Linked DNA regions of Macaca mulatta. The protein of the gene in region 6 interacts with the protein of the main gene of each other region in a biochemical or structural test. Links are inferred from orthologs where the notes say so. Each region holds a gene or a part of one and is shown on either strand. Other genes may lie near its edges. The genes, in order: LIMK2, PDZRN4, MAGI3, HTRA1, GRID2IP, RPS6KA1 and MAST2.

Region 1 (4,460 bases), on a different chromosome or scaffold from region 6:
AAATACAGTGTTACATCTTTCTGTAGGAAGGATGGGGAAAGTCCCTGTCCCCTGTTTGCTAGCCATGAGGCAGCTTGTCAGGAGAGTCCCTGGATTCCTGTCACTTTAATTCAGTACACAATCTTGTGTTTACTATACTGATTTCCTTAGAAACTATAAAACTGAGTACTGAAAAGAGTTCCCAGGAATTAACGGAAGTGGAACAGAGCCTCCCCAGCACTTTGTGCACACTCAGGACATCGTGAGCCACCTGCCACACCCAGAGGAGAAAAATCTGGCATCCGGTTTGAATTAGAGCAGGAAGAAAGAGAATTGTGCTCGCCTTTGCCTTTGCCTTTACTTAACCAACTGCTGGGACCAGAGGCAGTTGGGTTGAACTTTGTCTTTGGTTAGGGGTGGGGGGCGCGGGGGACAGAATCCATTTCCCTGGGCCCCATCCTCTTTCTGGTCATTTGGACACTTTTCCCGTGATCTAAATCTGATCTAAGGAAATGACAATTGTGAAAGACCCAGGGTGAGAGAATCCGATGGGAGGGTGGGTCATCAGGGACCAGCTGACCTGGCTGATGATGTGTTAATACCTTAATCACACAGAGGACCCCAATCTCCTTCCAAACCTAATGAGCGGAAGTGGTTCTCAAAGCTACTCAGCCAGCTAGCAGCTGCCATAACCCAGTCAGCTGTCCTAACTCAGTCCTGTGATCCCTCCTCCTCATAGAAGATTCTAAACTGGCAGCCCACAGGGCAAATCTAGTGGCCAAGTGTGTTTCATTTGGTCTACATGGCATTTTAAAACCTTTTTGATGCTATCAACATTTTTAAAAGTGGCAAATTTCACCTAAACATCTGGATTTTTGGCATGTTTTGAAAAGTTGGAAGACCTGGGAATGGTAGGCCCATGTTCCTGCAGAGGAGTGCTCGTCTTCCAATGGGGCGCACAAGCTCCAGCGTCCTGCGCTCATTTCTGTACCTAATTGGCCTGGCTGAGGATCTGCTCCTCGAAAGCTGGTTGGTCGCCTGCAGCCATCTTTGACTTAGCGATTATTTACTGTCCGCTTACTCATAGTGGCGCAGAGAAGTGGTTTCTCTGAGCTAGAAGCTTCTAAGAAAAGTCCATCCTCAAAGCTGTTTGTGGGATAGACCTGGCTCCTCCACTGTAATATTCCTGATTTCAAACACTACTGGAAAGAGCTCTGGACTGGCAGTCAGTAGGCCTGGGCTCCCATCCCAGCTCTCCTCCTAATGAGCGAAGCCATTTCGAGGTAGTTGAACTTGGCCTCTGATCCTTAACTTTCCCTATCTGTAAAATGAAGGCGACTAGATGGGTGCGGACTAGATCCGTGTTGAGCCTTCTGGCCCACGCAGAATCAACCTTACCAGCCGGAGCACCTCGAGGGTACACCGCTCGCACTAGGGGGCGCCAGGGCCGCTACAGAGCCAGAGCCAGAGCCTGGGGGCGGGTCCTGAGAGCGGCGGGGCGGGGCCTCGGCGGGCAGTCCCCGGTGCCAGGTGTGGTTTGGTCCTCCCGGGGCGCCGTAGGCAGTGCATCCCGTTCGCGCCTGGGGCTGTGGTCCTCCCGCGCCTGAGGCGGCGGCGGCAGGAGCAGAAGGGAGCTGTACAGAGCTGAGGGGAGTTGCTGTGTCCCCCGCCTCCTCCTCCCCATTTCCGCGCTCCCGGGACCATGTCCGCGCTGGCGGGTAAGGAAGGGCTGCTCCGCCCTGTCCCGCTGTTATCTCCGAAGCCCAGGTCCATGGCGCCTGAGGGAAACTGGCGGTCTCGGGTGTTTCGGGCTGGTTGGATCCTCGTGGGTTCCAGCTCCTCAGAAGAGCTGGGAGGCGGGGTGGGCACAGCGCTCCCCAGGCATTTGGAGGGTGGGACTCTGGGAATGGGGAGGTAGGGCATCCTGGAGACAGAGGGCTCGGAGGGGCAGACGGGTTGGGCGGCTTCCCGCGAGTTGAAGTCCCCGGGAGGAAGAGATTCTGGCTTTGCCAGGAATCCAGCTTTTTGGAGGAACCTGGCGGCCGCAGACTCCCAAATTAAAGCCTTTTTAAGGAAGTTGTAAAGCATGGGGTTCACTTAGAGTGGAAGCTCTGTGGAATTTGAGGAGTACAGGATTCTCTAGGGTTCAGGACAATTAGGAGAGTTACCCGGGGTTCTGGGTTTTCTGAGGGAAATGAAGGAGGATGTGACTTCCCTGCCAGGACCCAAGGCTTCTCGCGGGCATCTTGGTGCCTGGGATTTCCCCGGGGCTGGGAGCTCTTTGCAGAATATAGGGGAGTATGGAGCCCCTTGAGGTTTAGGATAGGACTAAGGGTAAGGAGAGATCGGACCATTCTTTTTGGGGCTCAAAGATCTCTGCTACAGGTGAGGAAAGTAGACCGCCTGGGGTTCTGAGTCCTCCCGCGGAAGCTCCCTTGGCCTCTCTAGACTTAAAGACTAGAGGGATGCGGCCAAACACCTCCTGGAAGGAAGAGTTATCTTAAAGGTGAAGGGTAACTTCAGAGTTGGGTTAGCTGCTCCTGCCGTCTCCTCCCCGTCACCTCACACACCACCCTGCAGCTTCCTGCCTTTCCCATCTGTTCCCCCAGCAGCAGGAACCTTCTGTCTCCTATGTTTCCCAGCCACCTGTGTGGGTGGCCCAGCCTCTGGGTCCACCAGGGTCAGCGTCCAGAAGCTTTGGAGAGGCGGCAAGAGGCCATTGAGGTGGAGGGGGGCTGGCTATCTGCCCCCTGCTTCCTGGCTTTCCGTCTGTGGACGGTCACTTCCTTCATCCTGAATACAAGGACTGGGCTACCAGTGGGTCACTTCCTCACCAAGGGAGCATGGGATTTTCTCCTCATTGGTGATAATAGACTTCTGGAGAGGGCTGGGGGTGGAAATGCCTAAAAAAATTTTCCTGTAATCCCAGCACTTTGGGAGGGCAGGGCAGGAGGATCGCTTGAGTCCAGGAGTTCGAGACCGGCTTGGGCTATATAGCGAGACCTCATCTTTTAAAAACAAAGCCTTGTCTCTTAAAAAAGATTTTTTTTTAAGCTTACAAAATTCCTCAACTCAAATGATCTCCAGTAACTTTTTTTTTTTTTTTTTTTTTGAGTCGAAGTCTTGCTCTGTCGCCCAGGCTGGGGTGCAGTGGCACGATCTCGGCTCACTGCAACCTCTGCCTTCCGGGTTCAAGCGATTCTCCTACCTCAGCCTCCCGAGTAGCTGGGACAACAGGGGCCTGCCACCACGCCCGGCTAATTGTTTTCGTATTTTTAGTAGAGATGGGGTTTCACCATATTGACCAGGCCGGTCTTGAACTCCTGATGACCTTGTGATCTGCCCACTTCCGCCTCCCAAAGTGCTGGGATTACAGGTGTGAGCCACCGTGCCCGGCCGATTTCCAGTAACTTTTTCTAACAGCTGTGTAATATAGGTTGCCTGTCTTGAACCCTGTTTCTTAGAAATTTGTGAAAGGTTTCACAGTACAGTAGTCTAGAGGCATAAAGCCTCTAGATGCACTAATTTATGCATTCTTTCATTCAAAGAATATTTGTTGGATTCTTCTTAGCTAAATGCTGAAGAGTACAATGGTGACATAGTTCTTGGCTTTGTGGTGCTTATAATCCTAAAAATGGACAATAAATAATTATAACAATTGCAATAAATGTTAACAATTGCAATACATAATAGTTGAGGTAAACAACTGAGATAAGTGCTGTAAGAGTGCACCAGGGGTGAGGGGTATTCTCTATTTTTCTGTTTTGGTAGAGACAGGGTCTCACTATGTTGCCCATGGTGGTCTTGAATTCCTAGTTTCAAGCCATCCTCCTGTCTCAGCCTCCCAAAGTGCTGGGATTACAGGCATAAACCACCATGCCCATCTTCTACTTTTTTTTTTTTTTTGAAGGGAATACTTTTCTTAAAACTGCAAGTTTATGCTGACCCCTGGAGATAAGTAAAAGTTAGTCTGGCAAAAAAAGCTCACAGAACATTCCAGGCAGAGGAAACAGCATAAAAAGGCCCTAGGGTAGGAAGGCATGTAGTGCCTTTGAGCCTTCGAGCTGGGAGGTCAATATGGTTTTTTGCTTTTTTTGTGGGGGGTGGGGAGGCAGAGTCTCACTCTGTTGTTGCCCATGCTGGAGTACAGTGGCGTGATCCAGACTCACTGTACCCTCCACCTCCCGGCTTTAAGTGATTCTTCTGCCTCAGCCTCCTGAGTATCTGGGACTACAGGGAAGCGCTACCTCGCCCAGCTAATTTTTTGTATTTTTAGTAGAGACTGGTTCTCACCATGTTGCCCAGGCTGGTCTCAAACTCCTGAGCTCAGGCAGTCCACCCACCTTGGCCTCCCAAAGTGCTAGGATTACCGGCGTGAGCCACTGCGCCCAGCCAAGTATGGCTTTTTATTTATTTATTTATTTTTTTTTTTGAGACGGAGTCTTGCTCTGTCACCCAGGCTGGAGTGCAGTAGCACGATC
Region 2 (4,483 bases), on a different chromosome or scaffold from region 6:
TCCTGCCCAGAAGTATTTGAATAAATTCTAGAACATGCATCTCCAGTTTATGCAATTCACAAAAATATTTTCATGCTGTTAATGTTAAATGATTTCTTATTTAATCAGAAATTTATTGTTTGCCTATTTATTTGTAGCAAGACAGGTCAAAAGAGAGGGGGAAATTCGGAACATAGTGGCAAATGTTACTTTATCACATATGAATCTATATGTATTAAATGAGAAATACAGCATCTTATTTTGAAAAAGAGTTTAAAAGCATATTAAACATCTAGCACACCAATCCTCACGGGTCACTGAACAGCTAACAAAATCTCATCTTTCATACGGAAAGAAGGCTCAGAAGGTTATTAACCTCTATTATTAGTCTTCGCTAATTCTTCGGTTAGCTCCAAGGATTTAAAAGACAAAGTCTGGAGCTGTTCTCATCAATTCCAACTGATGCCATTGGTGTCATAGAGAAGTACAAGCTTTCCAGGAACAAGGCTCAACTGGCAGCAAGGAATCATCAATGATGAATTTATAAAACCCACCCAAGCATCTGGTAGCATCTTCAGGATAATGGCAGTAAGTAATATGCAGCCAGGTGACAGGATCTCTTTGCATTCCTAAGATTCAGAAGATGGTAAAGGAAGTGGAGTAAGAAGGGTTTGGAATCATGCCCTACTGCGTATTTTCAGGACGGCTTGTCATGGTACACAATTTGAAGAGTCAAACTGGGAGGGGAGGCAATTTGGATACAAAGGGTTCATTCAGGGTAAGTAGAAGGAAGCAGCCACTAAGATTTTATTTATATTTCACTGCTTTCTTTCATCATCCTTACCTTTAATTTTCCCTTCCAGGTTCCCAAATGATCACATTCCCGTCCCCAGTAGTAAAACGCCTGTGGAAGTAGAAGATGGATGCTGTGGCAACTGAACCTGGAGTCAGACTCAGAATCCCAGCTTCCTCACTCGGGAGCAGGCCTTGCATGGCTGTTCAGGGGCTCCTTAAGAAGGCAGTGTCCTGAGGCGGGCGCTTGGCTTTTTCCCCATCTTTGCTGCTAGGTGGAGGATCGCGCCTTTCTAACTCACCTGATTTCTGGATCATGGTTTGAGAAGCCTGGCTCTGTGGATTTCCTAGTGTTATTTTCCTAATAGTGATTTCCTAAAGTAACAGTTTCCTAACTTCTGATTTTGTAGTTTTGATGTGAAAGAAACAAAAGTGCTTCTATTTCAAACATATTGGAGATAGACTTGACGCTGGGCGGGCCATGAGCATTCAGCGGAAAACCAGATAGACAAAAAGATTCTGCTCTCCCGAAGCTTACATTGCGGTGGATTTAAAAGTTGTTTCTCAACATTAGCGCTGTACCCATCATCAGCCCTACCCAGGGCGAGGAGCCTCGATGCTTGAAGTCCACTGTTCAGGCAAAGGAGAATACAGTGTTCCCAAGGACCATTGTAAGCTGGCGGCCAAAATTTGAAAGAACGTAAATCGCAGGGCAGCGAAGGAGGCGGGGGTCTCTGGAGGTTACTTCTATTAGCGTCAATACGGGAGAAGTCAGGGGACCTAGCAGGAGCCTGAAAACTTCAAGCCAAACAAACTCTGAGGTCACACCTCCCACCCGCCACCTCTCTCCGACTAGCCACTGCCGCCGCCGCGAGGCGGCTGCCCCGGGGGTGGGCCGGGGAAGGCAGGGGGGCTTGGAGAAGACGGACTCTGCTTTCACTCCCCCTTTCTTTCCTATCCCTAACATGGGCTTTGCCCTGGAGCGCTTCGCGGAAGCTGTGGACCCGGCTCTGGAGTGCAAGCTGTGCGGTCAGGTGCTTGAAGAGCCCCTGTGCACGCCGTGCGGGCACGTCTTTTGCGCCAGCTGCCTGCTGCCCTGGGCGGTGCGGCGGCGCCGGTGCCCGCTGCAGTGCCAGCCCTTGGCGCCCGGCGAGCTGTACCGGGTGCTGCCGCTACGCAGCCTCATCCAGAAGCTGCGCGTCCAGTGCGACTACCGCGCCCGCGGCTGTGGCCACTCGGTCAGGCTGCAAGAGCTGGAGGCGCACGTCGAGCACTGCGACTTCGGCCCTGCCAGCCGCCTCCGCAGCCGCCCGAGCTGCGCTTCGGGGCTGGGCTGCGGGGAGGTGCCCGCGCGGGGGGGCTGCAGTCCGGCACCCGGGGCTGGCCGGGGCGGGGGCGCGCGCGGGGGGCAGCCGAGCGGCCGCTGTGGCCGCGGGCGGGGGCCCAGGCCTCGGGTCCTCGCCTGGAGGCGGCGCGAGAAGGCGCTGCTGGCGCAGCTCTGGGCGCTGCAGGGCGAGGTGCAGCTCACGGCGCGCAGGTACCAGGAGAAGTTCACCCAATACATGGCTCACGTCCGCAACTTCGCCGGCGACCTGGGTGGCGGCCACCGCAGGGTAAGCAAAGGGGGGTGGGCACCGCCGGCATGGTCGATTGGGGTGGGAAGAGGAACGGTTCTTTCTGACACTTCAGGATTCCTTTGGAATTAGGCATCCTTCCTCACTGTGCAGCAGGAAGCATCACACCCTGATCATTACTTTCCTGTCATTATCTTTCGAATGGATTGTCATCGAAGTAAAGGATCGTCCCTTTTCTGCTTATATTACGATTGGAAAGAGTTAAACAGATTCGATTCTAACTTTGTGCCGGGAAAGTAGGAATTGGGAAAACTCGTTTTCCATCCAGACTTACTTTCTCCATCTTTCAGCCTCCTGCCCACCGTCTCTGCCTATTTTTTGAACCCTTGTCCCGTGCTTGAAGCAAATCCGAGAAGGAAAGCCGGAAAGCACAGACTTTCCCCGCCCAGCCTTTCCTCTCCCGCGGCAGCCAGCATCCCCGCGGCCCTGGCAGCCGCACACCTGGGACTGGTGTCAGTGCTGATGACACTTGCGCTGCCACTGCCTGAATCAACTGCCTTCTACTAAGTTGGGGACTGTGAGGCATGTAGGGGCCAGGACGGCCTCAGGAGCTGAGAGATGGGGTTTCTTAGACTTGCAGAGTTCTTTTCATCACTCTGACTTTCCCTAAATAAGCCTTCCTTGCCTCGGGATCTCATTATTGGTGGAGAGAGAGACAGAGATTGAGATTGTGTGTGTGCGACCTGGGAAGTCCAGTCCGAGAGCCTCCATCTGTGGTCAGACCGGCCCTGAGAGCCCCCAGGCAGTGGCTGTTTCCCTTCTTTGTCTAAGCTTCTGGCCCCGAGCTGCGCTCCTGGTCCGCCCGCCCGCTTTCAGGCCGAATAAACAAGCCTCTTTGCAGCACTCCGTGTGAAGAGGCTTGTTTATAAAGCTGTAACTTCTCTCCTGGAGGACTTCTGCGCAGTGTTTGACATTTTTGGTCGCTGCCATGGTGAGCAGGCATTTAGCAGAATTTGCGATCCATTCAAGGAGCTGTTTTCATTCTTCAGCACTCCCGGGGAGGAGCAACCCAGAAAGATTCCCATTTGGGACTGGCTGCTGCATACTGCCTCCAACTCAGGCACTGAGTTTAGAAGCGCCTGTCTTGAACCTAAATGAGAACGTTGAAGTGAGAGGGACTAAAATGTTTCCACCTTGATGAATGGATGCACACTGTGTATGAAAAGACTGGTTTCAAGGATTCTTTCTCTAGTCCATATATGCATATACATACATGCATATATACAGGTAAATTTACAAAATGGGAGGACCCAGGGAAAAGCACAGATAGAAGCTTTGTATTACCAGTCCAGGTTTCAAGGTCTAGGAAACCAGTGGTTGAAGGAAAGGAGCAACAGTTAGAATAATATTACAGAAAAGTCCATGCAACAAGTCAAGCTATGATTCTGAGAAGTGAGAAAAACTGCCCATGATTTGCAGACTAGCCAAAACCCTCTATGTGTTTCTCAGAAATGTTTTTCTCCTACCAGTAGGGGCTGCTCTGTGCACTGCCTAGGAAAAGCTCCTGGGAAAATATCGTGATGCTGATAGTAGTGATGATGATGCATATGGAATGTTATCATTCAGAAATAATTTCCAAGTAAAGGTTAATAACATCTATAACCATGAATAAACCCACCTAGCCCAGCACTAATTCATCCAATGTTTAAGTTAGTCTTTACTAATAAACATTGTAGCTATAATTCTTGTTTTACTATTATTCGGCCAGCAGGAAAAAAAAATGCATACTACTTTACCAAGCACAAACCCTTATTTTTTTATTCTGCAGGAATTATGCAAAACCAAGTAGGAATATTATTTAAAATTAGGACTACAGTAGCCTAACATATTCTGCATTACAACAGCAACATGAATATTATGACTAAAATTTATAAATAGTTCATGTTTCTTAAATTCCTTAAGACTTTACAAAATAAAAATTTTACACTATTGATAATTTATATTTTACTTTTCTGTAATGGAGGGAAAAATAAAGATACCTCCAAGGTTTAACCAGAAATCTGTTTTCAATTACAGTGAAATCAGATTTAGATGCTGCATTAGGATAAAAGAGCTGCATGTCTCAAAATGCAAAGCCA
Region 3 (4,504 bases), about 88 Mb from region 6:
CACACCCTGCCCACATCTTTGCAAAATGCCATTTGTTTCCTGCCAGGACCCTGACTGATACAATGATGTCAACCAAATCACTGCAGCTATTGAAGTTTGGTCCAGTCTATCCGAGGTGTGGTGAGATTCTGTGGAGTTAAATAAGGGCTTTCACCTACTATTGAAGGGAGACAGGAGACTACACAAATAAATGGCATGCTGCAGAAGTGAAACAAAGATCATAGCTCAGAGAAAACATTTTCCACTTGAGGGCAAGAAATCAGAGAAAGCTACCTGGAAGAGCTGGCATTTGGGATGATGACGGATAGGAGTTTTAAAAGAGATGGTTTGAAGGGCATTCCAAAGACAGGGAAGAGTGTGAGTCAAGCCGGGGAAGAGAGAAAGCTGAAGTGAAGTTTTCGAAAAATTAGAGCTGGAAGGGATCTACGGTATCTTTTATTTGATGTTCGCTCTCCCTTCACCTCCTTTAACTGAGATTTGGCCAAGGTCAAACAGCAAGTCAGTAGCACGTCAAGACTCCAACCAGGTCTGCTGGCTACCAGGCCAGTTCTTAATAATCCACCTCTACCTCCACCCCGCCCCCTCACCTCAGGCAGTCTGCTTACTTCTCAGTCTCTCCCACTAGACTGTAACCTCCTCAATAGCGGGGCTTCTTCACCCTTGAATCCCAGTACCTAGCACAATATCTAACACAAAATCGTCATCGTCATCATCATCATCAGCAGCAGCAGCAGCTACCAAACTTTAAGAGGGATCCACACACTGCCCGGCACTATGCAGTTATTTTGTACATCTTCTGGAATCTTCACTTTTCATTGAGGACGCTGCGGCTCAGAGAGGTTGTCTAATTTGTCTGAGGTCACACAGCAGTTAAAGTGCCGGACTCTATTTTATAATATCTTTCATCAACCGGACTCCGAAGCCCTGCCTCAATGGGCGTTCATTCAACATTTGTTGAATGAACGAATGAACAAGAAACACCCACTCAATGCAAGCTATCGGCTGTAACAGGCCACCCTAGAGGCCCCGGAACCTTGGCAGGGTCAGGACTCCGCACGTTGTCTTCCAATCTAAGCACACCGGCCCCTCTCAGCGCCCCGCACAGACTCGGAGGCTCCGCCTGCGTCTCCGCCTAACTCGCCGGCCACGCCCCCACTTCGGGGAGTTCGGTCACTCTCGGATTCGCGTTTTCCTCGGCTCCAGCAGCCGCGCAGAGGGCCTCTCCCGGCCCTGCGACCTGAAGCCCATTCCACTCCCCTGCCCCTCCTCTGCGCCCTCCCTCACTCTCCAAACTTCTTCTTTCCACCCTCTCTAAACTTCAGTCATTCTAGTGCCCGCCTCCTCCACTCGCACCGACCAACCAGTGGTCCTCATTCTCGTTGGCGGTCCGCCCCCTGCCCGCCGGGGGCCAATCCCTGGCGCGAGAGTCCGGGGCCGGGGCTCGTTCCCAAGCGCCGGGCCTGTGACGGCAGCGCGCCGGGCGCCGCGCGGCAGGAGGGGGCGGGGCTCTGGATGAGGGATGGGCGAGGGCGGGGGGAAGGGAAAAGGGAGGAGGAGGAGGTTGCGGCGGGTTTGAAAGCGGCAGTTTCCTGGCAGCTTGGGCAGGCGTTGGTCTCCGCGCTACAGCTCCGCAGCGGGCACGATCGATCCCGCGACGGGTCTACGCGCGCTTCTGCGCGCCCCCGACGGATTTTTCCCGTTCCCGGCTCTTCCCCCTTCACCTCACCGCCCCCCCGCCTCAGCCTTTCCCGCCGCTCGGGCGCTGCGCCCGGGGACCAGCCGGCGGCAGTGACCCCGCCCGAAGCCCCTTTTGGAACCGCCTGGGGACAATTCCCTTTTCCTTTCTTCAGCCTAACCTGCGCTGGCCCTCGCGGAGTCTGGTCAGCCCCGGGGAGCGCAGCTGGGAGGGGCGTCCAAGAGGCGTCTCGGAGCCTTTACTAGTCTGGGAGCGGCCGGGCCCCCAGCGGGCTGTGGTCACCGGGTGGGGGCCGGAGCGGCGAGGCCCCCCTGACCCGGCTGCGCGGGCCGCCCAGGGCCCCCGGGCTGAGACGGGGCCGGAGCGGCGCCCCGGCCGCCCGCGCGGGGTCTCCCCCATGGTGCAGCGGGGTTCGGGATGTCGAAGACGCTGAAGAAGAAGAAGCACTGGCTCAGCAAGGTGCAGGAGTGCGCCGTGTCCTGGGCCGGGCCCCCGGGCGACTTCGGCGCGGAGATCCGCGGTGGCGCGGAGCGTGGCGAGTTCCCCTACCTGGGGCGGCTCCGCGAGGAGCCCGGCGGGGGCACCTGCTGCGTCGTCTCCGGCAAGGCGCCCAGCCCAGGCGATGTGCTGCTGGAGGTAAACGGGACGCCTGTCAGCGGGCTCACCAACCGGGACACCCTGGCTGTCATCCGCCACTTCCGCGAGCCCATCCGTCTCAAGACTGTGAAACCAGGTACGCCGGCCCTGCGTATCTGCCGCGGGGTGTTGGGTACAGGGGCGCCAGGGTGGGCGTCCTGGGAGCGACGGCACCTCCCCACCGCGTATGGTCCGGGTTAATCTTAGACCTCTAGGGTGTGCCTGACTCCTTGACGAGGGGGAGGGGTGGCGTTGGTGAGTCCCATTTTGCCGATGGGAAAACTGAGCTCTGGCTTGGCGAGGTTGCCCTGCTAGCTGTGTTAGCTGTCACAGAATTGCGACTAGAAGCTGAGTTTTCTATATTTGTAGCTCCATCTCCCCCCGCAGACAAGAGTTTTTGACTAGAGAAGGCCAGCCTTTTCCGCTCTCTGTTGTGCAAAAAGGTCCTTAGGATTGTAGCATTTTCTTTGGAACGATCTTACGCATCTTCTAACAGGGAAAAAGGGTCTTTACTATAGAAGTACTTGGTGCCAAGGTTACCACCTAGTGTACCTGGAAGGGCTTAGCTGCTTCAGTGTTTCTTGCACACTAGCAGACATCTCGGAGCTGTCAGCCTAACTCTGTCAGTCCAGGTGGTTCAGGTGTCTGAGTACCGATGAGGGTACAATATGTGATATGTGGCCGACTGGTGTGTGCTTTCAGGGAGCTGTTGAAGAGAGTCTGGGTTTTGAAGGAAGACTTAGGTGCCTAGCGGAGTGAAAGCTTCTGTAACGCTTTTGATTTTACAGAATTTTGTTCAAGTGGTGGGTTAAAGGAGGCTCTTTGCCCTGGTATCTTTTATGCTAGTAAAATTTGCTGCAAAGCACGTTACGTTTATGGCATACTCGTCAGTTTCAAAGCATTGATCAGAGACAGCATACAGTGAGATCTGATAGTATGTAGTAGTTCTTATGAATTTGTTATAGACAGCATTGTTGGTTTTGTTTCAGCATAGATAGAATGTGATTCTGTCGTCTTAGATGTTTGTGGGAGAGAGAATGGTGATTGTAACGTTATTAGAAACCAAACTGTTTTTCCTGAATGTGCTCTACTGAGTATACGGTGCATCAAAATATAATGGGCTGCTTAATTGTTACCTGGGCTAGGTAGCAGTCCACCCTTGATGGCAAAATGCTAGAAAATTCTGGAGAAAAATTTAATATGTTATCTCCTTCTCATTTCTTTCTCAGCAGCTCGCTTTGGAAATATTAATATATCTTTAATAGTCCTTGAGCTTAATGGGGCTTGATGGTTTGTGGTGCGGTTTACATATGTCTGTGTATTGTGGATATATATACACACAGACTCACATGCTCCTAAGATCATAATTAAGATTTTCTTTCTATAGCCTATTCCATCGTATTCATTTTAAATGTATGGGTTTATGTAGTGAGGTTTTCTTTTTATTGTTGTTAATTTTTTAAAACTTTGGCAGACTTTAAACAGCTTTTTCTGTATAGTTTTGAGAATTTGTAAAATTTTTTCTTAACGCTAACTTTTACAGTGTGTGAAAGGCAGAGGAAAGACTTTTGGGGCTGTAATTCAGCCAGTCACGCACTGTGTGTAATGTGCAAAAGACTATATAGACAGCATTTACTAGTCTAGGTGCCAAATCTTAGTTCAAATCCCATGAGTCAGTGAATAATGAGAACATCTGCATCATTGCTTTGTGTTTTGTTTTGAGTAGTTGGGGCAAAGATGAAAATATAACGTATTTTTAGAAATTTTAAAGTTGATATATTGACATGGAAGCTGGTGTCTTCTAAATTATTGTGATTTTTTTTTTTTAGAAGACCGAAGAGATGGCTATTTCACATTAGTCTAATCTACCTGTTATACATTTTCTCAACCTTTGTATTATATTTAACAATAATTCAAGATTTAGAGTATTAGTCATATTAACTGTGTTAGATAAGCATCCTATGCCCCATATGTAGTTGACATTATTAGAGTAATACAGTTTTACCCTCTTGACAGCCATAGACACTGTTCTATTTTAAAGATTTAGCCAAAATAAAGGGAATAACATATTAATGGTCGCAGAACATTTTGTAGTCATTAGTAGTAAAGTTCTGAATACTACACTTATTTTTTAAAGAGACACTTTGAGTCAGTAATTTCTCAAGATATCAT
Region 4 (4,398 bases), on a different chromosome or scaffold from region 6:
GGCCTCTGCCTCTCCAGGATCCAGGCCTGAAGGGATTCTGGGTAAAGGCCTCCCTTCTGCAGCCATGAGGCCCTGGCTTTATGGAATGTCGTTTGGAGTCCAGGGAGTCAGCATGGGGACCCCAACAGCTTTCCCATGCCCCAGGCTCCTGGGCCTTTCTGAGGGACCCCTCTGGACTTTGGACATTAACAAGGTTCATATTTGGAAGGTGCTTTGAGGGGGCTTATAAGTATTTGGAGTTTACTTTTTAAACTATTTGTATTGGAAAAGTAACGTGTGCACGAGGGAACAACCCAAATACAGAAGAATATTAAAATCTCCAAGCCCCCAGCCCCCTCCCTTGCTACTGTATCCCAAAGTCAGCTCTGCCGGCCCACCCAACCGTGGGTGCCTCTGCCCAGGGTAGGGTTGGAGGTTTGAGGGTTTCGGATGAGGGCTGGGCGAACCGCCTCCTCTCAGGTCCTTGGACGCGAGCTGTACCCATCTGCTCAGTGTGGACCCAGGACTACTGCCCACAGGCCTGGTGCTGCCTGGGCACCCAGACCCACCTCCAGGGTCGCCCTCGGCCCTCCTGATGACTCTCAGACTCGCATCTGTCCCAAAGGCTGCACCAAAGATTCTCCAGTGGAAAATCAAATTTTTGATAACAAAAGTGTTTTGAAATAATCACGCACGTGGTGAAAAATTCAAACAGGAGCAAACCCCTTTCCCATCTGAGACCGCTGCACCCTCTCCAGTTACGAGCCTCCCAGCTGCTTCCTGAGCTCTCTGCGAGTACGGACACGCGTGCCACCCACAACAACTGTTTAAAAGAATCAGACGTGTGAAGGATTCTGTTCAAATTACTTCTGCTCTCTGCTTTTATCACTTCACTGTGGGTCCGGGCGCGGGCTTTCTGGCAGCTCCGCGGACGCTGCCTTCGTCCGGCCGCACAGGCCCCGCGGTCAGGGTCCCGCATGCGGGGTACCGGGGGCAGAACCAGCGCGTGACCGGGGTCCGCGGTGCCGCCAACGCCCCGGGTCTGCGCAGAGGCCCCTGCAGTCCCTGCCTGGCCCAGTCCGAGCCTCCCGGGCAGGCCCCCAGTCGGGCGATTTGCAGGAACTTTCCCGAGCGCTCCCGCGGGGAGACGCCGCAGGGCCCCCTTGCAAAGTTCCTTTAGTTTGAAGGACGCGAATCGCAGCGAGAGAACCTGCGGAAGGCGAATATGTGGGGCGCGCAGACGGGGAAACTGAGTCCCGCGAGAGGGCGGGTCTGTGCACTGCCCCGCCCGCGCCCCACGAGCTCCGCCGTGCCCGGGCGCGCCCGCCCTGCCCCCGCCGCGGGCGGTCCCGGTCCAGTCGTCCGCCCTCCCGCCATCCGGTCGGCCCCCCTCCCGGGCGCCGTGCCCGTCCCCAAGGCGGCTCGTCACCGCTGCGAGGCCAATGGGCTGGGCCGCGCGGCCGCGCGCACTCGCACCCGCTGCCCCCGAGGCCCTCCCGCACTTTCCCCGGCGCCGCTCTCCGGCCCTCGCCCTGTCAGCCGCCACGGCCGCCGCCGCCGCCAGAGTCGCCATGCAGATCCCGCGCGCCGCGCTGCTCCCACTGCTGCTACTGCTGCTGCTGGCGGCGCCCGCCTCGGCGCAGCTGTCCCGGGCCGGCCGCTCGGCGCCTTTGGCCACCGGGTGCCCCGAGCGCTGCGAGCCGGCGCGCTGCCCGCCGCAGCCGGAGCACTGCGAGGGCGGCCGGGCCCGGGACGCGTGCGGCTGCTGCGAGGTGTGCGGCGCGCCGGAGGGCGCCGCGTGCGGCCTGCAGGAGGGCCCGTGCGGCGAGGGGCTGCAGTGCGTGGTGCCCTTCGGGGTGCCAGCCTCGGCCACGGTGCGGCGACGCGCGCAGGCTGGCCTCTGTGTGTGCGCCAGCAACGAACCGGTGTGCGGCAGCGACGCCAACACCTACGCCAACCTGTGCCAGCTGCGCGCCGCCAGCCGCCGCTCCGAGAGGCTGCACCGGCCGCCGGTCATCGTCTTGCAGCGCGGCGCCTGTGGCCAAGGTACTCTGCCGCGCTCCTGGGCAGCACCCCATTCTCTCCATCCCAGCTCGGACCTGCTTCTGCGGGACTGGTGGGCAGACCGAGGGGCAGTGAAGCGTTGCGGGGTGGCCAGGGCAACTCTCGGGGACAGGCAGGTGGGCCCCGGGGTGGCGGCTTTCCGCGGGCTGCCTCGGAAACGAGCTTCGCGCCCAGCCCGGGGCCGGTTCTGCGCCCAGACGATGCCGGTGCGCCGGGCCTGCACTCTGGGGCTCGAGACGCCTGGCGACCTGCCGCGGAGCGCCCTGAGGGCAGCCACACAGCGCGGGGAGCCGAGGACAAATAAGAGGAGTGGGGGCATAAAGGGAGGAGAGAAGTTCAGGACTAGGAACTGGAGCCTTGCAGAGTGGCTTCAGGACCACAAGAAGTCATTTCTGTTGCTTTTTCTATTTGCTTCCTCCGTCCCCTTTAAAATGCATTACTTTGATCACGGGACCGCTCCGTGAAAACTGTATGTAACTCTTTTGGAAAGGAAGAGTGTTTGCCGGCCCCCGCCGGAGTTTCCCCAAAAAGTCTACCCCGGGCAGGGAACGGTTTGGCATCGCACTCGTTTCGGCGGCGTTGCTGCCTGTGTTGCTTTCCTCGTTTTGAGCCAGCCCTACAAAAATGAAAGTGGCTCCTTTTGAATAAGCTGAATCGGGCTTTGGATCACGAAATCTGCAGAGGCGTAGAAGGGACCGGGTTAGTAATGAGGAAGGAGCCTGCCCCTCCCTCCTGCCGCATACAGGACCTGTTCGGCAGGGGAGATGGTGGTGATGGGGGCAGGAGTGGAGTGGAGCAATGTCTAACTCTCTCGCGGGACCTTCCGGAGAGATGCTTCCCATCTTCAGGCAGAGGCCATGTGGAAGAATAGTATCGAGTTCAGCGGCGGCCAGTCCCGCGGTGTAGAACCAGACAGCGGGGCTTGGCAGTGCGCTTAGGCGCAGCCATGCGGCTGCTGCCCGACCCCAGCGCTGCCTCCTCAACTCGGGCAGTGCCAGGAGAGGGGCATAGGAGAGCACAGTGCAGAGGGACTGGTCTAGATTTTACTTTATAGGAATATGGTTCAGTATGACCAACTAGGACTTGGCATAGTTTGGCTTACATGGACCGGAAGGTGCCAGAGCCGAATTGGGTGAAATTCGAGATTGTGTATTTCACTAACGCAGGAGCACAGCCCTCGGGAAACTCAGCCTAGTTAGGCAGTAGAGAGTTGTCCCGGAGACAAGTGATCCCGCAGACTAGAGAATGGGCATGATGATAGCACACGCCTATTGAGCACTCAGTCTGTGTGCCGGGTGTGTTACCTCTGTGACCTCATTTGGTCTCATGAGGAGGGAGTTTCTCCTCTCTCTCTCTCTCTTTTTTTCTTCTTAAGAGACAGGGTCTCCCTCTGTCGCCCAGGCTGGAGTATAGTGGTGTGATCATGGCTCACTGCAGCCTCCCACCCCTGGACTCAATGATTCTCCTGCTTCAGCCTCCCAAGTGGCTGGGGCTACAGGCGGATGCCACCACACCCAGCTTCTCATTCCTGTTTTACAGATAGCGGAACTAAGGTTGAAAAACTTGCCCAAGGTCACTCAGCTGGAGTTTAAACCCAGATAGCCTCATTCAGAGGAGTCAGGCCAGCACTTAACTCCAAGGGTGTGGGAGAGGGGTCAGGTGCTGTAAATTTCCCGGTGGGTTGGACTTGCATCCCCCTCAGAGCCAGGAACAGCATACACAAAGCCTAAGACTTGTTTGGAGGTGAATAGATCAGTGTGGCTGGGGGATGTTTGGGGAGGGCAGCAGGAGTGAGCCAGGCTGGTGGCCCAGAGTCCCAGGGCTGAAGAGGCTGGCTGTGCCCCGGGCCCTGTGTGCAGATGTTCTTGAACTGGGGCAACTCAAAGCCTAGTGTAGTGTAGGGCTGACCTAGCAGTGGTGTGCGGAATGCATCCAGGGTGGAGAGTTTAGACTACTGCAATAATCTGGGTGTGAGGCAACAACATTGAAAAAGCATGTTTTTGTCCAAAACAAGCCAGCTGTTACTGGTCTCGCTGTTTGTGGTCTCATTGCACGGGGTCCTGAGTTGCTGGCACCATGCGAGTCGCCTAATTTATTGCTAGTGAGGCAAGTTGCTTAATAAGCTTTGGAGTTGGCTGAGTCCCTGTGTGGAGGAAAACAGGTCCCCCATTGGCCATCAGGCTCACGGCGGGCCCCGGTGTACCAGTGAGGGGACAGCCACAGAGGGATAAGCATGGTGGCTTTGAAAGGAGGGAGAGGCAGAGTGGGTACAATGCTGTTTTTATCCCTCCCTCCTTCTTTTGCAAATATTTGTTGAGCTCCGTAGGGTGTCTGACACCGTTTGCATGTTTGTCT
Region 5 (3,739 bases), on a different chromosome or scaffold from region 6:
AGACGGTAAGTGACTTGCCCATAGTCCCACAGCAGGTAAGCAAATGAGTCAGGATTTGGGCCTATGCCTGTCTGATATGCCAGGTCAATTTCCTTTGCAGAGGCTGCCTTTAATTGATTAATTAATTAATTAATTTTGAGACAGAGTCTTGCTCTGTTGCCCAGACTGGAGTGCAATGGCACGATCTTGGCTTTCTGCAACCTCCGCCTCCTGGGTCCAAGTGATTCTCCTGCCTCAGCCTTCTAAGTAGCTGGGATTACAGGCACATGGCACCACACCTGGCTAATTTTTGTATTTTTAGTAGAGACAGGGTTTCACCATGTTGGCCAGGCTGGTCTCGAACTCCTGACCTCAGGTGAATTGCCTTCCTTGGCCTCCCAAAGCGTTGGGATTACAGATATGAGCCACCGTGCCTGGACTGCCTTCATTTTATTTTTGAGACAGGGTCTCACTCTGTCACCCGGCTAGAGTGCAGTGGTGTGATCATACCTCACTGCAACCTTGAACTCCTGGGCTCAAGTGATCCTCTAGCCCCAGCCTCCTGAGTAGCTGGGACTACAGGCATGCACCACCATGCCAGGCTCATTTTCAAATTCTTTTGTAGAGATGGGGTCCCGCTATGTTGCCCAGGCTGTTCTCAAACTCCTGGCCTCAAGTGATCTCTCAGCTTTGACCTCCCAAAGTGCTGGGATTACAGGCATGAGCCACTGTACCTGGCCCAGAGGCTACCCTTGAATGTGACCATCTGTCTTGTCTCTGGGGACCTCCAAGCCCAAGGAAGCAGGCCAATACCCCTAGACTGAGGGATGCTAGAGTGGACTAACCCTCACCTAAACAGCCTCAGTTTTCACATCTGCAAAACATCTGGGTGGGCTGGGCACGGTGGCTCATGGCTGTAATCCCAGCACTTTGGGAGGCCGAGGCGGGTGAATCACGATGTCAGGAGTTTGAGACCAGCCTGACCAACATAGTGAAACCCCGTGTCTACTAAAAAATTCAAAAAATTAGCCGGGTGTGGTGGTGGGCACCTGTAAACCCAGCTACTTGGGAGGCTGAGGCAGAGGAAGTGCTTTAACCTGGGAGGTGGAGGTTGCAGTGAGCCGAGATCGCGCCATTGCACTCCAGCCTGGGCGACAGTGCGAGACTCCGTCTCAAAACAAAACAAAAATCTGGGTGTGAAGTGGGTGAAAGGAGATGGTGAAAAGCACCTTGCCCAAGCTGTAGAGTTTGCTTAATGATTCTCTGCAGATCTTCTGCCTAAGAGGAAGGGGCAGGGGTGGATCTGACATCAAATTCCTACTCAGACACTCACCCGCACCAGGCCCCATGTGCTGCAGTCAGAGATATGTGACAGGCGCTTTCATCACCTACTGCCCTGGCCACAGGCACAGCCCCCAGACCTCTCCTCCTTACCTAGCTTCAGCCTTAGGGAAAACCCTGTGTTCCCTGCCAAGGGGTGTTGGAGCCAGAGATGGGGAGCAGGGAGAAGTGCCACATGCCCTTCTTGCCTGTCTTCCTATCTGGGCCTCTGTCACCCACTGGCCAGGCCCTGCTGGGGGGCTCAGTGGGAATGTCCCACCCTGACAGGCTGCTCCTTGTAATTTTGAGACTTAGCTCTGGGCTACAGTGCCCCAGAGGACAGATGGGACAGTGGCTTTGGGGCACTCAAAAGAGCCCTGGCTTCAGTTACGCACAGACTTGGCATTATAAATGCCTTGGGATTGTAAATGACCCAGGGCTAAGCGCAGTGGCTCAGGCCTGTAATCCCAGCACTCTGAGAGGCTGAGGCAGGTGTATCACCTGAGGTCAGGAGTTCAAGACCAACCTGGAAAACACAGTGAACCCATGTCTCTACCAAAAATACAAAAATAAGCCAGATGTGGTGGTGGGTGCCTGTAATCCCAGCTACTTGGGAGGCTGAGGCAAGAGAATAGCTTGAACCTGGGAGGCGGAGGCTGCAGTGAGCCAAGATCGCCCAACTGCACTCTAGCCTGGGCAACAGAGCAAGGCTCTGTCTCAAAAAATAAATAAAATAAAATAAATAAATACATACATACATAAATACATAAAATAAAATAAAATAAATTTATAATCCAGGATGGGACACGGTGTTATGGCTCATGCCTGTAATCCCAGCACTCTGGGAGGTTGAGGCAGGCAGATCACTTGACCCCAAGAGTTTGAGATCAGCCTGGGCAACATGGCAAAACCCTGTCTCTACTAAAAATACAAAAATTAGCCAGGCATAGCCTGGGTGACAGAGTGAGGCCCTGTCCCAATCAATCAATCAATCAATCAATAAACAGCCCAGCATGGAGCCTCTTCCAGGAACCCTGGGTGCACAGCAGCCTGTGCCCAGAATCTCTGCAGGAAGTCAAGGTCTCCAGTGGCCACTGGAGCCATAGCCAGCTCCACCCAACCATCCCACCATCCAGCCTGGTGCAGGAACAGGCTGCTTAGAGGATGCTGACATGACCACTGCAAACTTGTCCTCGCTGGAGGGGGAAATGCTCTCGCAGGCATCCTGTATCTCGCTGATAGTGCCATGGAGGTCGGCCAGGTCGCTGGTCAGAGCCCGTTGGTTCACTGTAGGGAAAAGGACAGAGGCCACATGGGGCCACTCTCCCAGCCCAGGACAGCATGCCTCTGCCTCATCCACCCACCCAGCATACCTTTGGCAGCCAGGGGCACGGTGGGCAGGTCCTGAGCAAAGCCCAGGAGTTCAGGGAAGTGCTGGCTCAGCGATTTGGCAAGGATGTGCAGGAAAGTGGACTTCCCATCTACTGTCTTGGTGGAGTTCAGCTGCAAGTGACCCCCAACATACATCCCCATCAAGGACCCCATCAGATGGGGTCACATGGGCCCAGCTTCTCCTGGACTACTGTGGCATCAGTGATCAATTCTTGCCCCTCCCCCTTTTTTTTAAATAGCAGGGTCTTGCTCTATTGCCCAGACCAGAGTGCAGTGGCTCCATCATAGCTCACTACTGCCTCAAACCCCTAGGCTCAAGCAATCCTTCCACCTCAGTCTCCCAAGTAGCTTGGACTACAGGTATGTGTCATGCCTGGCCAATTATTTTTGTAGAACTGGGGTCTTGCTATGTTGTCCAGGCTAGTCTCCAACCCCTGGCCTCAAGTGATCCTCCCACCTTGGCCTCCAAAAGTGCTGGGATTACAGGCATGAGCCACCACATCCAGCTCAATCCCCAGCCTTTGACACTCTCTTTCCAACTCTTTCCCCTCACTCCATTTTTCCAAATCCTGGGAGTGTGTTCCCCTACACCACCACACCCCACCCTTTGCTGCAGTCACATCCTGGCTTCAATGTAGCCCTTTTCCTGCTAGGAGAAGAGCCCTCCTTGGTCACAATGTCCTCTCCTGCCCTCTGCCACAACTGAGCTAGGCTTGGCGTCAGCGCCTTGCTGCTAGAGCAAACCAGTTAATTGCTGCTGGCAGGCCCCCTCACCTCTGTCAGAAAGTTGATCTTGAAGCCAGTGGTCTTGTTGGTTTTGGGCTGTCCATCGTTGAGATAGTTGCCCATGGCCAACACAAACTGTGGACGAGAAGGTGGGCAGGTCCTGTCCTCCACCACCACCCACCCACCCTGCTCTCTGGATGGGCCTCCATGCTGGAAGCCCCAGGAGGCAGAGAAGCAGATAGGGTGCCAGGGAGGGTATGCCCCCTGACCTCCAGGATCTTGGCGAGCTTCCGACTGTTTTTGAGCTCCAGGGAGGCCTGGC
Region 6 (3,749 bases):
TAGCTGGGATTACAGGCATGTGCCAGCACGCCTGGCTAATTTTTGTTTGTTTGTTTGTTTGTTTGTTTGTTTGTTTTTGAGACGAAGTCTCACTCTGCCGCCCAGGCTGAAGTGCAGTGGCCGGATCTTGGCTCACTGCAAGCTCCACCTCCTGGGTTTACGCCATTCTCCTGCCTCAGCCTCCCTGGTAGCTGGGACTACAGGCGCCCGCCACCCGCCCGGCTAGTTTTTTGTATTTTTTTTTTAGTAGAGATGGGGTTTCACCGTGTTAGCCAGGATGGTCTCGATCTCCTGACCTCGTGATCTGCCCGTCTCGGCCTCCCAAAGTGCTGGGATTACAGGCTTGAGCCACCGCGCCCGGCCAATTTTTGTATTTTTAGTAGAGACGGGGTTTCACCATGTTGGCCAAGCTGGTCTGGAACTCCTAACCTCAAATGATCCACGATGGGGTGCTTTTCTCACTGTACTTGCACACCTCTGATGACAGGGACAGCAGTTCTCTAAGCAGTCTGCTGGGCAGTGTGACAGGTGCAGCTTTGTAGGAGTCAGGGGCCAGAGAAGCAGCATGAGGCAAGGCTTCTCAGAGGAGGGAGCGAGTGAGCTGAGTCCTGAAGGATAGGCAAGCAATGGATTATCTAGTTAAAGGGAACAGTGTGTGCAAGGGCTCAGAGACCCCTTTAAGGATCTGGGAAGTCCAACGTGGCTCAGCTGTGGTGTGGAGAGAGAAGAGGAGGATCACAAGGCCCTCCATTGCCAGACTCAGAAGCTGGGCTTACTCCTGAAGGCAGAGGGGCACCTTTGAAAGGTGCGGGCAGGGTGGTAGATTTGTGGTTGGAACCTTCCCTTTGGCTACTGTGCAGGGATGGACCTGAAGGGGCTGATGTAAGACGGAGAAGCTGGGGAGGGAGCATCCAGGAAGGGACGAACTGTCTTGGCCTGGGATGGAAGTGGATGTGAGAGTCTTTAATGTTCCTCATGCATCAGGACTGGACTGGTCTAAACACATATGAGCAGTCGGGCTAAGGCCTGGGATGGACAGGCCCTCTGCAGGCTCCTGCCATGGCCAGCCCCTGAGGCAGGTCTCAGGCCCTGTGCTCCCCCTTTGCTGGGCTGCCTCAGGGTCGAGGGGACCTCCTCAGGTACCCTCACATTCCCCTCCTGCCCCTACAGATTCCCCAGGCATCCCCCCTAGCGCTGGGGCCCATCAGCTGTTCCGGGGCTTCAGCTTCGTGGCCACTGGCCTGATGGAGGACGACGGCAAGCCTCGCGCCCCGCAGGCACCCCTGCACTCGGTGGTACAGGTGAGGGGGGCAGGGGCTGCTGCTCCGTTATCCTTTTCTAAAGAATGGCTGTGAATACAGGCTCTGAGTTGGACAGAACCGGGTTCATACCCTCGTGCCACTGTGGGACCCGTAGGGTCTCCAACATAAAACAGGGACAGTAAGGCCCACCTCACACTGTGGCCCTGATAATTGGATGATGATATGGCTATACATTTCCCAGCACAGAGCAGGGTCTGGGTACATGCCAGGGGGTGCCCAGGGTGATGGTGCAGAGTGACTGTCGTGTCTCTGGCATAAGGGTAGCAAAGAACTTGTATCTCTTCACACTTGTTCCCCATTTGTACACTTCCACTGCCTCATGAAAGTTTCAGGTTGAGAGGCAAGAATGTAGACTGTGCAGCTCATTGCATGGGTTCCAGATTCACAAGATAATGGACGTTGGGGTTTTTTTTGTTTGTTTTTGAGACATAGTCTTGCTCTGTTGCCCAGGCTGGAGTGCAGTGGCACAATCTCAGCTCACTGCAGCCTCCACCTCCCAGGTTCAAGCAGTTCTCCTGCCTCAGCCTCCCGAATAGCTGGGACTACAGATGTACACCACCACACCCAGCTAATTTTGTTGTTGTTGTATTTTTAGTACAGATGGGATTTTACCATGTTGGCTAGGTGTCAAACTCCTGACCTCAAGTGATCCACCCACCTCAGCCTCCCAAAGTGCTGAGATTACAGACATGAGCACCCGACCAGATAATGGACTTTAGATGAGATACTTCCCTTCCTGGTGCCTCAGTTTCCTTATCTGTAAATGGGGAAATGATAGAATCTTCCTCCATAGAGCTATTATGAGGATTATTAGAGTTAATACATGTAAAGTTAAAGTGGGCTGGGCACAGTGGCTCATGCCTGTAATGCCAGCACTTTGGGAGGTCGAGGAGGGTGGATTGCTTGAGGCAGGAATTTAAACAGACCCGTCTGGCCGACATGGTGAAACCCCATCTCTAAAACTACAAAAATCTGATGGGCGTGTTGGCATGTGCCTATAGTCCCAGCTACTTGGGAGGCTGAGACACGAGAATTGCTTGAACCCGGGAGGCAGAGGTTGCAGTGAGCCGAGAATGCACCACTGCACTCCAGCCTAGCAACAGCGCAAGACTCTATCTCAAAAAATAAATAAATAAAAAATAAAGTTAAGGTGACTATGTAATTTATTTTCCAAACTGGGACATCTTTATCCAGGACAAATATTAAATCAGACTGGATGCAAGGACCGCAGGCGCAAGCCAGGGCTGGCCGTGGGGCATGTAGTCACCTGATGAAAGTGCTTAGAATACTGCCTGGCACGCAGCACACACTAAGCACCATTCAGCATTGCTATGGCTAATGTCCCAGAACCTTGAGACACCCCCTGAGTTGAGCTGTGACACCCCAGAAAGGGGAGGCAAGTCACTCAAAGCCATACTTAGTGGCACAGCTGGAACTCAGCTCAGGGCTCCTGCGTCCCTCCCAGGCCTGCCCAGGCTTTTCAGAACTAAAGTCCTCTCCATGTGTGTTGTGACCCTCTTGCCCACTCCCTGCGCTGCCCTCTGACCACAGGCTGCAGTCCAGGCAGGCTGGGAGCCAGCGAGTATGCCCAACATATAGAGTAGAAAACTGAGGCCCAGAGAGGGGCAGGCTCTCACCTGCAGTCACATGGCCAACACTCTACGCCAAGTCTCCTGGCCCTTCCCCGGTGCTGTCTCTACTGAGCCAAGACCTTGAATGCTGGGAGATGACCCTTAGCACTCTGGAGCCAGGGGTCAGCCACAATTTTTGGTCTCCTACAGCAACTCCATGGGAAGAACCTGGTTTTTAGCGACGGCTACGTGGTAAAGGAGACGATTGGTGTGGGCTCCTACTCTGTGTGCAAGCGCTGTGTCCACAAGGCCACCAACATGGAGTATGCTGTCAAGGTGGGCCTCCTGACCACGTCTCAGCCAAGGCTGCCGGGCCGGGGGCAGGTCCCCGTCTGGTGGGGAGGGGTGGTGCCTGAGCTCTGCAGATGTATGAAAGATTGTGTGGCCGAGACCTCCAGGCCTGCTCCATGGCAAGGAAGGACCCTGGAGCCTGTCACCCTGACACTGCCACATGCACCCACTTTCTTCAGGTCATTGATAAGAGCAAGCGGGATCCTTCAGAAGAGATTGAGATTCTTCTGCGGTACGGCCAGCACCCCAACATCATTACTCTGAAAGATGTGAGTGGGGTGGGGACCAGGAACTCGACTCTCTAGGATTTGTCTCAGGGTTGCCATTCCTTTGACTTCTCATCCTCTTTCCGGTGGTCATGTGGAGGGGAAAGAGGTCCCTTGGTCCCTCCAGTCTGCCCATCCCCCAAGGGCCCTCCTTCAGACTCAGGCATTTTCTGAGGACGTTCTTGCCTATCAGGGGACCAGTGTCAGCATCCTCCTTTTGGGGAAGGCGGGGCCACTGA
Region 7 (4,392 bases), about 20 Mb from region 6:
CCGGGCACGGTAGCTCAAGCCTGTAATCCCAGCACTTTGGGAGGCCGAGACGGGCGGATCACGAGGTCAGGAGATCAAGATCATCCTGGCTAACACAGGGAAACCCTGTCTCTACTAAAAAATACAAAAAACTAGCCGGGCGAGGTGGCGGGCGCCTGTAGTCCCAGCTACTCAGGAGGCTGAGGCAGGAGAATGGCGTAAACCCAGGAGGTGGAGCTTGCAGTGAGCTGAGATCCGGCCACTGCATCCCAGCCTGGGCAACAGAGCAAGACTCCGTCTCAAAAAAAAAAAAAAAAAAAAAAAAGACATGATCTGAATGAAATAATTTGGTCACAAAAGAGTAGACTATGATTCCATTTATATGAAGTATTAGTTCAAAACAAACCTATACTGACAGAGGTGGTGAGGAAGGTTACATCTGTAAAAGGGTAGCGCTAGGAGAAAGCACAGGGAGCATTCCAGGCTACTGGGAATGTTCTCCATCCTCATGTGAGTTATGATCATACAGGTACTCATTCTATAATATTTCATGGACTGAATGAACCTTTGATTTGTCAAACCTCAATAAACAAGTAATCCTACACAAAAAAAGGTTTTGGTGACCTTAAAGACATCAAGTTTTGGGAAAGTATAAGTGAAGAAGCCAAACCATATTAGGGATGTATACAAGGTGAGGATGCTAAGACACTGAGTACAAACTCATTTTTCAAGAAGGTTGCTGGGGAAACAAGAGATAACAAAGTAGTTTGGGTAGGTTACACAATTCAGGGCAATTATGTTGTTTTGTTTTTATTTGTGATATAAAACAAAGAGAATAACAAGGGTCTAAGGCAAACAAAAGAGGATGAAATCAAGGACATAAGTAGAGAAATTAGCCTCAGAGAGGAGGATGAATACTTCTTTCTCTGAGACTGAAGCTAAGGATGAGTAAACACAAAAATCATAATATAAAGAGGAGGGAAAAATCAAGTAATCTTGAACTCTTCCATGAAATATGCAGTAAGGTCAACTGGACAGGTATACTGAGACAGGAAAGGATCTGGACTTCAAGTTCACTTTACAAGTTTTGACTAGATGATACTGTAGATAATGTAAAAGACAAGTGGTAGGCACACGGGGGAGTAAATACAGCAAGAGGACAATGCTCAGCAGCTGGAAGCAGGGGCAGAGATGGTCAATGGTGCAGTCTCCTCAGGGCTCAGTGGGGAATAAGAGGTGGAAGAACAAAACAGGGGAAAAGTCCAAGGGCTACCTAGCATGGTATATAATTTTTAAAGCGTCTAAAGGGCCGGGCACAGTGGCTCATGCCTGTAATCCCAGCTCTCTGGGAGGCCGAGGCGGGCAGATTACCTAAGGTCGGAGTTCGAGACCAGCCTGGCCAACATGGTGAAACCGTGTCTCTACTAAAAATACAAAAAAAATTAGCTGGGCATGGTGATGGGCACCTGTAATCCCAGCTACTCGGGAGGCTGAGGCAGGAGAATAGCCGGAATCCAGGAGGTAGAGGTTGCAGTGAGCCGAAAATAGCACCACTGCACTCTCGCCGGGGCCACAAAGCGAGACTTCGTCTCAAAAAAAAAAAAAAAGTGACTAAGGAAAATGCTAATTATCTGAGAGAAAAGAGGTAAGAGACCTATAAGAAGTCTTAAAATATTCAAGGATGAAGTCACTAGGATTCCGAATAGAACTGAACAAAAGGAAAGCTGTCACTAGAGTTCATTACTACAGGACATTTTTTTGCAAATCCAACAAGACCAAGGATCACTTATTATCGTTTCACTAAACTTACTACCGCTACTAGTGGCAGCTTCTCCTGCCTGATAAAACTGACCTTTATCCCCTACTCATAAATACACCTACTCTTGACTAATAAATTATATAAACACGTCCTGTTCATTCAGAAACTCCATGAATATTTATATGCTGCTGTGTTTTCCCAATAATGTATTTCAGTGGAAAACTAGAAGGCAAACGATAGATCTACGAATTCTGTTCACAAAATTGGGCTTAAGACTGCTCACATGCAGGTGTTTCACACGTGCTTTCTTGTGAAATAGATGGTTGGTAAAGAGAGCCTTAACAATGATTGTGAACACACTGGTACAAAAGTATAATGATGGCCAAATCAGAGAATGCTTGGGAGTGTCATCCGTTTTTACAATTTTAAGGACAACCTCTAGGAAACAGGATAATACTATATCAAATTGACTTTCCCCATCTTACACTATTTACTCCTATGGATAACTCAACGCCTCTTTAGTAAGCCTACTCGTTGCAGCTCACACACTCAGCCCACATTCCAGCGTCCTTTCGCCCCATCCAGAACCCCTGACTACCTCCTGCACCAATTTTTCATTCTTCTACTCCCCCATTTCCAATTCAACCCCAGGCCACCACTTCCATTTCTCCACTCCCCATCTCTCGGCCTCCCCAGACCTCCCACTCCTCCCCCGTAACTATTCAGACCCCACCCCTCCAAAGCTCCAGCCCGGGTCCTCCCGCCGGAGATCCCCTCCCCCACGGCTTCCATTCAGGTTCCCCCGCCCGGATCCCAACCCGCCCTACCTGCTCCTTGCCCTCGGGCCCCACGGGGCCCGTCCGCTCCTCTAGCCGCTGCCTCCCGGGCGGCGCTCGCCGGCGCGGGGGCAAGGACTGGGGCAGCTCCGCCGCCCGCTGAACTCCATCCTCCCGGCGGTCGGGCAGCGGCGGCTGCGGTCGGTCGCGGCAGCGGCTCCGCTTCATATCTGCAGCTGGGGCCCGCGGGCGTCAGCGCCGCGACTGTCCCGGCCCCGCACTGCCCCGGGCCGCAGCGCAGCCGCGCCAACCACCGCCCGCGGCCACCATGGCCGGGCGGACGCCCGAAGCCACCGACCCCAGCCAGCGGCGCCTTCGAGCCTTCTGGGGCCTCCGGCGCCGCGACCTTCTCTGCGCTCCTCACGGAAGAGACAGCATCGCTGCCGCCCCGCCTCGCCACCCGGCACACGCTGGGCAGGCCACCCGCCGCCGGCTCAGCCGCCTGCCTACAGCCAGCCTCCGGCCGGCCCCGCCCCTCACGCGCGCGCACCGGGAGCCCGCCCGCCACCTCCGGCCGCGCGCCGCCTCCCGCGCACGCGCCAGGGAACGGTCGCGAAGGACCCGCCCGTGGCCCTGGCGCGCAGTCGGAGGACCAGAAGGGGGCGGGGCTCTCAGCGCGCCAGCAGCGGCTGCGGACTCCCATTGAATCTTTCATTCATCCATTCATGAAATTGCCGGCCCAAGCTCAGTGCTGGGGACCCAAAAATGAGTTCGAGTCCATCGGTGTCCTCAAGGAACTAGGGAGAGAGGGGCCGGGAGCAGGAAGGAGACAGAATAACACAACTAATGAATAGAAGGCTAATGCGTGCCATTTTATTTAGTTCCTGCCAACCCTCACCTAATTCTCACATCACACTTAGGAGGCAAATCTGCGCATTCTCATATTACAGATAAAGACACTGAGGCGAAGTGAAATGCACCAGGTCACCCAGCAAATTAGTGATCAAACTAGACGTAATTCTGGCTTTTCTGTCCCTTTCCACTGTGTTTGCTCTTTCCGGACAGTAAGACAGTGTGGAAACGCCTATAAAAGTGGAAAAAGTGATGGATTCCTTCTGGGAGGAGGAGAGGACAAAAAAGGCATACAATGAAGTCATCGTGTAGAGCCCAGCCCAGTCTGCTGTGGCCTGGGTAGCCTGACCTGCTGCCTGCAGTGACTCATCTGCTCAGCAACATGTGGTGGTAGCTCAGCTCTGGCCTCCCTCTGGCTTCAGCTGGTCTGCCACATGTTGTGTTTTTCCTCTTTTGACCTAGAAGCCTTGCCTAAAGCCTTCACTGATTTGTCCTGGGCCTCTTCCCTAACCCCTTTCTGAGTAGTAAAAATAGCCAACACTGCGGAGTGCCCACTGGATACCACACACTATGCATTCAATTCACATATACACAAACAAGAAGTTGTATTTCCATTTTACAGTTGAGGAAATAGGCTCAAGTTATATAATATGCTCAACATCACACAGCTTATAAGTCCAGAGCCAGGACTCAAACCCAGGTCTGTCAGATGCAGACAGAAAGACAGTGCGGAAACTCCTATAAAAGTGGAAAAAGTGGGGGCTGGGCGTGGTGGCTCACGCCTATAATCCCAGCACTTTGGGAGGCCGAGGCGGGCTGATCACAAGGTCAGGAGATGGAGACCATCCTGGCTAGCATGGTGAAACCCCGTCACTACTAAAAATACAAAAACATTAGCCGGGCGTAGTGGTGGGCGCCTGTAGTCCCAGCTACTCGGGAGGCTGAGGCAGGAGAATGGCATGAAGCCGGGAGGGGGAGCTTGCAGTGAGCCGAGATCACGCCAATGCACTCCAGCCTGGGAGACAG

The links.
Region 1: the proteins of RPS6KA1 (region 6) and LIMK2 interact in a test that uses a peptide from one of them, tested with the Homo sapiens proteins (2 studies listed by BioGRID and IntAct). The link is inferred for Macaca mulatta from reciprocal best matches to the Homo sapiens genes RPS6KA1 and LIMK2.
Region 2: the proteins of RPS6KA1 (region 6) and PDZRN4 interact in a test that uses a peptide from one of them, tested with the Homo sapiens proteins (2 studies listed by BioGRID and IntAct, with this or other methods). The link is inferred for Macaca mulatta from reciprocal best matches to the Homo sapiens genes RPS6KA1 and PDZRN4.
Region 3: the proteins of RPS6KA1 (region 6) and MAGI3 interact in a test that uses a peptide from one of them, tested with the Homo sapiens proteins (2 studies listed by BioGRID and IntAct). The link is inferred for Macaca mulatta from reciprocal best matches to the Homo sapiens genes RPS6KA1 and MAGI3.
Region 4: the proteins of RPS6KA1 (region 6) and HTRA1 interact in a test that uses a peptide from one of them, tested with the Homo sapiens proteins (2 studies listed by BioGRID and IntAct, with this or other methods). The link is inferred for Macaca mulatta from reciprocal best matches to the Homo sapiens genes RPS6KA1 and HTRA1.
Region 5: the proteins of RPS6KA1 (region 6) and GRID2IP interact in a test that uses a peptide from one of them, tested with the Homo sapiens proteins (2 studies listed by BioGRID and IntAct, with this or other methods). The link is inferred for Macaca mulatta from reciprocal best matches to the Homo sapiens genes RPS6KA1 and GRID2IP.
Region 7: the proteins of RPS6KA1 (region 6) and MAST2 interact in a test that uses a peptide from one of them, tested with the Homo sapiens proteins (2 studies listed by BioGRID and IntAct, with this or other methods). The link is inferred for Macaca mulatta from reciprocal best matches to the Homo sapiens genes RPS6KA1 and MAST2.

Annotation. Positions count from the first base shown.
Region 1 is NC_133415.1:20,306,702-20,311,161, reverse strand, and holds the start of LIMK2 (LIM domain kinase 2), read left to right. Parts: upstream 1-1,541; 5' UTR 1,542-1,681; coding exon 1,682-1,697; exon of another isoform or gene 1,698-2,765; intron 2,766-4,460. UniProt on the Homo sapiens protein: Serine/threonine-protein kinase that plays an essential role in the regulation of actin filament dynamics. Acts downstream of several Rho family GTPase signal transduction pathways.
Region 2 is NC_133416.1:48,096,619-48,101,101, forward strand, and holds the start of PDZRN4 (PDZ domain-containing RING finger protein 4), read left to right. Parts: upstream 1-1,622; 5' UTR 1,623-1,736; coding exon 1,737-2,384; intron 2,385-4,483.
Region 3 is NC_133406.1:126,867,574-126,872,077, reverse strand, and holds the start of MAGI3 (membrane-associated guanylate kinase, WW and PDZ domain-containing protein 3), read left to right. Parts: upstream 1-1,583; 5' UTR 1,584-2,113; coding exon 2,114-2,429; intron 2,430-4,504.
Region 4 is NC_133414.1:134,542,751-134,547,148, forward strand, and holds the start of HTRA1 (serine protease HTRA1 precursor), read left to right. Parts: upstream 1-1,487; 5' UTR 1,488-1,550; coding exon 1,551-2,025; intron 2,026-4,398. UniProt on the Homo sapiens protein: Serine protease with a variety of targets, including extracellular matrix proteins such as fibronectin. HTRA1-generated fibronectin fragments further induce synovial cells to up-regulate MMP1 and MMP3 production.
Region 5 is NC_133408.1:44,506,355-44,510,093, reverse strand, and holds part of GRID2IP (delphilin), read right to left. Parts: coding exon 3,687-3,739; intron 3,553-3,686; coding exon 3,466-3,552; intron 2,803-3,465; coding exon 2,673-2,802; intron 2,587-2,672; coding exon 2,468-2,586; intron 1-2,467.
Region 6 is NC_133406.1:214,427,878-214,431,626, reverse strand, and holds part of RPS6KA1 (ribosomal protein S6 kinase alpha-1), read left to right. Parts: intron 1-1,170; coding exon 1,171-1,301; intron 1,302-3,103; coding exon 3,104-3,229; intron 3,230-3,423; coding exon 3,424-3,513; intron 3,514-3,749. UniProt on the Homo sapiens protein: Serine/threonine-protein kinase that acts downstream of ERK (MAPK1/ERK2 and MAPK3/ERK1) signaling and mediates mitogenic and stress-induced activation of the transcription factors CREB1, ETV1/ER81 and NR4A1/NUR77, regulates translation through RPS6 and EIF4B phosphorylation, and mediates cellular proliferation, survival, and differentiation by modulating mTOR signaling and repressing pro-apoptotic function of BAD and DAPK1.
Region 7 is NC_133406.1:194,801,525-194,805,916, forward strand, and holds the start of MAST2 (microtubule-associated serine/threonine-protein kinase 2), read right to left. Parts: upstream 3,025-4,392; 5' UTR 2,743-3,024; coding exon 2,566-2,742; intron 1-2,565. UniProt on the Homo sapiens protein: Appears to link the dystrophin/utrophin network with microtubule filaments via the syntrophins. Phosphorylation of DMD or UTRN may modulate their affinities for associated proteins. Functions in a multi-protein complex in spermatid maturation.